Mytilus edulis: one gene and its partner. The protein of the gene in region 2 interacts with the protein of the main gene of each other region in a pairwise test. Links are inferred from orthologs where the notes say so. Each region holds a gene or a part of one and is shown on either strand. Other genes may lie near its edges.

Evidence for each region. The genes of interacting proteins can lie anywhere in the genome.
Region 1: the proteins of ligand of Numb protein X 2-like (region 2) and selenocysteine lyase-like interact in binary tests that used the Homo sapiens proteins (3 or more experiments, as listed by UniProt). The link is inferred for Mytilus edulis from reciprocal best matches to the Homo sapiens genes LNX2 and SCLY.

What each region holds. Positions count from the first base shown.
Region 1 is NC_092356.1:8,095,785-8,099,546, forward strand, and holds the start of selenocysteine lyase-like, read right to left. Parts: upstream 2,291-3,762; 5' UTR 2,289-2,290; coding exon 2,272-2,288; intron 1-2,271. Other genes in the region: uncharacterized protein, read left to right, coding at 2,888-3,680. UniProt on the Homo sapiens protein: Catalyzes the decomposition of L-selenocysteine to L-alanine and elemental selenium.
Region 2 is NC_092350.1:40,602,024-40,605,785, forward strand, and holds the start of ligand of Numb protein X 2-like, read right to left. Parts: upstream 2,858-3,762; 5' UTR 2,720-2,857; intron 46-2,719; exon of another isoform or gene 39-45; 5' UTR 1-38.

The sequences.
Region 1 (3,762 bases), on a different chromosome or scaffold from region 2:
TTCAGGTCCCTATGTTTTTGAAGTATACATGTATACTGATATTTCTATATGAAGACTTCAAATGCAAAATATTCTTAGCTTTAAAACGTGTTTGTTTTGAGAAAATTCATTTGAAATGTTGGATAAAAGGGTGTTTAAAATTTTCTGATGTTTTGACAATGGGGGACACATATTCGCCGTTGTTACACATCTATTTAAAACCAAATAACTGCAACTTTAAACAATATGTATCAAATAAATTTCATTATAGATGAAAAGCAGACATTTGAAAAGTGTAAAAAAACTGAAATTAAGGGCAATCACTCAAAAAATTACTAGAGAAATACTTCTTTGAAATCGTTTTTTTCTTCAGGAAATTGGCTGAAAATTGTTGTCCGTTTTTCGGTTCTTTGCGGTAAATGTCGAAATTTGGTCTCATTTTCAAAAATTATCATATTTGTTATAAAAATATAATTTACCGGCATATTTCTTCAATTTCAACCATCCTTTGAAGTTTTACACCTCAAAATCATAACACGGCGAAATTGTGTCCACGGCGAATATGAGCGCCCCACTCTACTCCTAGCCCCACAGGACGCAATTACGACTGGACACAATTACGAGCGATTTCCAATGTTTGCCCTCTGAGATCATATTTATTTATATTTATCAATAAATGTTTTTATAAATAAAAACCCTATTAAAATTCCCTTGTTTCCATGATAATACAATTTATGTGCACTTGGTGAATGTTGATGACGATGACAAAATCATTCTGAAAATATTATAAGAACGGCAATCTGGCCTGCAAGTTATATAAAAAAAAACATAAAGGTAAGTGCATATTGCCTTCGTTTATCAATATATAGAAAGAAAAATATCTCCTGATTCTGTTCATGTGCGTGATGCCTTTTATCTTGCCCAAATAACCCCACAATTGACGTTTTTTAGCATCTTGTGACCCTATTTATGGTCAATAGAAAATATGTTAATTTGATTGAAAAGTCCAGAAAACTCCGAAACAAATGTTGACCTATATAAAAAAAAATCATAGATGGCCATAGATGAATGATAAGTACGGCACCAAAATGGATAAACTTGAATTTAGTGCTCCTGTAAAGGATGAACTTACACAAAAACAAAAAAAATCAGAAATCTTTCCTTTACACATAACCGCCATTTCGTCTGCAACCACTGTTGAAGTTATTGAAGTAAAAAAACAAACTTGTGCATCTTATTTTCCTTTGAAAATGTGTTTGAGATAAAGATTAATGTATGCTTTATCAATCTAGACTATTGTCATTGATTTCTTCTGCAAGATCTGTATCTGTAGTGGTACGTGTAGAATCCTATTAAGGCTTTTATACACGGTGGAGAAGAGCGCCGTTGTTATGGGCGGTGTTCTTGTAGAGCGGTCTTAAATGCCTCTACAGAACCTGCATGCACAACTTTATCTGGTAGTTGGTTCCAGTGAATAGTTGTTTCCACAAAAAATGAATGTTTGTACTGTGGTTTGTTGCTATTTGGTACTTTCAGTCCTCTGGTGTTATTAATAACTTGACGTTCGATGATATTGTCAGTTTCACAGTTTAAGTACGTTTTGGCTTTAATTGTTCGTTTCGGTCTTGCTGGTATGACAAAATTGTCGGCTGGTAGAGCCGGCACCAGACCCTCAACCACCTTGTAAATCAGGATAAGACGGAGGCTGTGTCTTCTTTCCTCTAGCGTCTCCATTTCAAGCTGGCGTCTCATATCAATATACTGCTGTTCGGAATTGCGTCCACATGTGGCTCTCTTGACCTGTAAAACGTGGTCACGCAAATCTTTCTAAAGTATCCTAATGTGAATAAAAATTTATGTGGGATATGATGCAAAATGGAAAGCCTTCATACATCTTAAATTCTATGGTATAAACAATTCAAGAAAAGTAGTCTACATAAAAAAATATTAATCACAAGTTCAAAAATCGTTCGTAATTGTGTCCGGTGACAAAAAAATGAATCATAATTTCCTGTTGATCATGTTGATATGCACAACTACAAAATATGCTCTTTTTTTTTTTTTTTTTTTATTGTATAACGTTTCTCTCTATCTAGATTATAGTTTTTTCAACATAAAAAGCAAAAATTTGGAAAATCATGACAACATTGAATGATTTTACCCACATGCTGACATTGACACAATATTCAGAGGAGCAGACTATTTTTACAATTTTGAGACGACGAATGTCATACGATGCGTCGGACGCAAAGTGATGTCAAAAGCTCACATATAATTATAAAAAAAAAATACTTCTTTTCGTCTGCCATTTCAGTCATTCGTCTCAACTCGGCCGATTCCGTACCCTCATCTAACCTCGTCCGTGATACGTAGGTTTCCATTACTGATCTCCTGTAAAGGAGGGAAATATAGTATATCAAATATTGCAATTTGATAAATCATCATGGCTGCGCCCATGAGAAAAAATAGATCCTTTGAATGACTGAATATTATCCATTTTATCATGTTTATTTTGTTTGTGAGAAAATTATGTAATCATGGATGACATTTATTAATTATGTATATAACCTGGTGGTATGATTGTGTGACATTTTTAATTTTCATTAGACATTTGTTGACATTAGTCATTCGACTTAGTTCATGTCAAGAGCCTTGAGGAAAAATATGTCTCTATAGCATTGTGAATTCAGCTGCAAGTATTTGAATATTCCTTCGAAATTGACAATGTATTGTTTAGTCACCGTATTGACTTATTCGTGAATTAACAATGAGATGTAACAAATATTAGAATCATAACAATGGTATGATCAACCATAACTCTTGACACATGTATATAGTATTTATTCTCCACACTGTGCCTCTGTTTATAATTAACTCGTTTTCATTTTCTACCTGAATATATTGTATAATGGATACACCGATTAAAACTATATCAAATACTAGCAAGTGCTGTTTGTTGTGTGGTGACACTGAGAAGAGACTCCATTGCCTTACAAAACATAAAGCTTCGAATGAAGGATATACACGATCAATCGAAACAACATTAGATATAAAATTGGATTCAAGTCTGCTTGAGTTTATGTTTATTTGTGAAAAATGTGCTAATGCATGTAAACACTTCAATAATTTTAGAGGACGTGCTAAACAAAATTTAGATAATTTTATATCAAACCATACTACTTCTAGAACTAAAAGGATGCCTAAAACACCTCCTTCTGCCATGAAAATCAGTACTGCTGATCAGATTGAAAATTCAGTCGAAAAACTTAGAAATTTGAATTTAGACGAAAAGGAGAAGGGTGCTAGAGTAACAAAAAAATCCAGGCAGCAACTAAATTTTAATAAAGATCTAAATTTAGAACATGCTTACTCCCAACATAATATCTTAAAACATCAGGAAGAGGATCAAGTAGTGTTATTACAGGATCATGAGTATTCCATTCCAAACATCATGGACAAAGCTCTTGAAACCAATGAAAAAATCGCCGAAGATTTTATTAAGGAAGCATGCATCAATTCTTACAACAGTCATGATGGTCTAGATCTTGATAAGCAAATTTCTTCAGTATGTAAACTTGGCAAAAGTGTGTTATTTAAGTCGAGTGCCAAAGACCTAAGCGAAAGGAATTGGTTCATAGACATAGGAAAAGAAATGCTACAACACTGTCCAGAATTTCTTACATTACTTCTTTCAGCAATAGGTAAATTGATTTAATATACAACTGTAACCTGTAGTTTTTAATACTTTTTATGTCGCCGGACTGCATACAGGTCATTTTCCAT
Region 2 (3,762 bases):
TACTACACTCGTCTCAGATTGTCAGCTCATTCTTCCTTCTGAAAAATTATACGAAATGTGTTACTTAAAAGTATGTATCAACAGAAACTTCTTCATTGTACCTTATAACTCTTCTATAATTAAATACATCCATTATTTGATAAATATTCATATTGTATGTCAAAAAATAAATTAATTTTCAAAGTTTTTTTAAAAACAAGAGTTCATGTGCTGAAATGTTTTGCCTGCTTTAATTATAGTTATTCAGAACATGAAATTCTGATACATTTCTTATGATCTCAAAAAGTTTTAATTTTAAAATGAAATGTTGCTACATGTACATGTAAAGTCATTAATCAGCAATGGTAAAATACATAACAGAAAATGACCTTCACAAATCAATAATGACACAATTTTCTAATCTGATAAAAACTTAATATTTTCAAGAATGAGGTTGCCCATTCAGAAAACAAATTCAAAACTCATTGTTCACATTATTATTTATTTTAAAGAAAAGGTCAAAGGGAAGTAACTTTTGCTCATCTATTTATGCAGCAGCAAAACTCTGTGTTGAACCATGCTATTGACACAGTAAAATGGTATTGTTGTACAAACATTTGTTATATATATACAGCCATTCATTGACTGAAGTGTAATGAAATTGCATGAAATAATTGCCACTATAACTTTAGCAAGCAACATCATTCAATCAAGAATGGTATAAAGCCTTAAAGACATAAATAATATGTTAGGATGGTAGAGTTTTTACATCATCTAAGTCCAAAATGCACTGTTATCTCCCTATTTGTTATTGTATCCATCTCATGAATTATATGTAAGACTTTTTCAACTGATTTTAACAGTTCGTTATTATGTTGTTTGGTTACACCACTGTGACACTGTCCCAGGTTAGGAGAGGGTTGGGATCCCTCTAACCATGCCACATTTTGTACATGTATGTGTCTGTCCTGAGTCAAGACCCTGTAATTCGGTGGTTGTCGTTTGTTGCTGTGTCACATATTTTTTTTCCTTCATTTCTTTGGTACATAAATTAGACCATTAGTTTTCTCCTTTGAGTTGTTTTAAATTTGTGATTTCAGGGTCTTTTATAGCTGACTGTATACATGCTGTATGGGCTTTGCTCATTGGTGAAGTCTGTATGATGACCTATAGCTGTTTAAAATTTCTGTGTCATTTGGTCTCTTGTGGAGAGTTGTGTCATTGGCAATCGTACCACATCTTTTTTGTTTCATGCATTTTAAATGTTTTCTTTTACTGAAATTTATCAACATGCATTAAATGAGAACATGTCTCACACAGTTATTCATATACACAAACAAAATTTTTCATTGACACTTCTATAAGGCAAACAAAACAGTCATTCAATTATGAATTTCAAAGAAGTTTTTAATTTTATTAAATCATAAATAGAAGGCATTTATCACATTTAAATTTTCATTGTGAAAAATGATGGCAATTAATATATGACTATAATCATGATAATTGATTACATATTGCAGTGTAAAATATAATTAAACTAATTTGAACAATCATGGCGTTGACCATACTTATACTACATGTACATTTTGACAATGAGCAAAACTAATACCGGTACAGACTAGCAAGCTAGCTATAATGGCTATAAAAGACTTCAACATGACAAAATGTGAAATATTGCATAAACAAAACCATATATTATATTGGTCTGCCATTAAAGGCATTACAGACTTTGTTGTAAAATTTTCATGTCATATCAGAGACTGGCCACAAACTGATGCCCCCACACTCCACACTGAAGTAACTGTATTATAACTAAGTCAATGTGAGACTTTCTTTGAGATATTATTGTCTGAGAAACACAAATGATGCCCCCACAGATCCAAAGATTAATTTTAAAATACACAAAAGTGAGCAATGGAGCACATAGGTTTATTTTTCACTGTAGGAGGACCTCTTATTCAAGTATACATGTACATTGTATACTCCAAAGATGACAAAGTTCAACTATCTCCCAAAATAGCATGTAGAAATCAAAACCCTGACCACATGAACACATTCAAAAATATGTAAAAAAAGCCAGCAAAGTGAAAACTATATACCTAAATTGGGACAGACGGGTGGAAATTAGTACAGGCGATCAGACAGGGGTAAAACAATATGCCCCAGAACTTTTAGTTGTGGGGCATAAAAATGAATAAAGATTGTAGTTCAACTGTTACAAATTCTCATTTCTCAGATTCCTTATGTATATATGTTTCTTTTTGGAACCATAAAGCAAACTACAGGATACCTCCTAATGGAAAAATGTGAAAACTCAACATCCATACTAAAAATAACTCAAATGAGGAGAAGAAAAGAAAAACAATTACCGTCACACAGTAGCCAACGACAACCACTAGAACACAGACTTCTGGATGCAGACAGGCACATTAAAAGAGTGTTTGGGTAAACTAAAACATGTCTGTTAGTGCTTAACCATTCTCACAACCTTGGACATTCCTTTGTAGTTCCAAAGACATCAACATTAGTTTGGAGTTGTGCAACAGGTCTGCAATAAACTCTTGCTGGCATTGTTTGTTTTGAATTGTCATTTGTTACTGGATGTTAAACAAGCAAGAATCAATCATAAAAATGAACATGTACCAATCCGCAAATTGGAATAAATTTCTATTCAGACTAGTCTGTATTTTAATATATAATTACAGCAACTTTTAACAATAATAACAGACATTACATATACCTGAATAAAATTATACAACTTTTCCATTTGATCTGAAAATTAGGCGTGGCTTTTGTGTGTATATTATTGTTGTCTTTTGATGTGAAATCTATTTTTGGTGATTCATGCAATATGCTTTCAGAATAAACAAACTTCCGAAGGTTTTCACATTATGTACTGAGAAGATCTAGAGAGAGCCGAGTTTTATTTTTTTTTTATCAACAAAACTGTTTTATTTGTAAAAGCTGGCTGGTAAAAAATGTATAAATCACTGTTTAAAACGGTATATATAATGTTAATTCAACTGTATGACTCCAAGCTCTACTTTTATCAGGAATATATTTTTTTCTAATGCTTTGCGGTGTCTGGTTTTTAAGTTTTATTTCCCGAAATAAACTGCGATTTGTGACAGGGAACCAGTTGTTGGTGTTCCTAAGTTTAGAGTCAAATAATTAAAACACGTATAAATCCGGAAAAGATGAAGAAATAAAATAGTTTACAGTAAAATAGAAACACGATGATTAAAAAGATAAAACGGAATAGACAGTTGAGTGAATGAACGAATTCCTTATGATATCCACATGGTAAATCATCGTCAATCAGTCAATTAATCAATTAATTAATCAATCAACTTTAATTAATCAATCAATCAATTAAGCAACCAATCAATCAATCGTGAATGTATGAATGAACGAACGAATAAATGAATCTATCAGAATAAATCAATCACGAACGAGGCCGAATAAACGAACTAGTAATGCCCTTTAACGTCAGGCGTCAAACAGTCATTTCGGCTACCGTTAGCGTCAAATTGATTAAAATAAGTGTACATTTTATCGTCATGTATATATATACCAAAAGTTACCGTTAACGTCATTTGGCAAGAATTTTTACCGTTATTCGTCATGAAGTTACCCCAATTACGACCCTCAAAAACGAACGGCCGAACGAACAAATGAATGAAATCGGCTCAAGGCGACTGAAAATAAACAAACACAACTACCAAATACATATAGTGTTACAAGCGACGCACTAACATATACATACCTGTCAACCTGTGATGA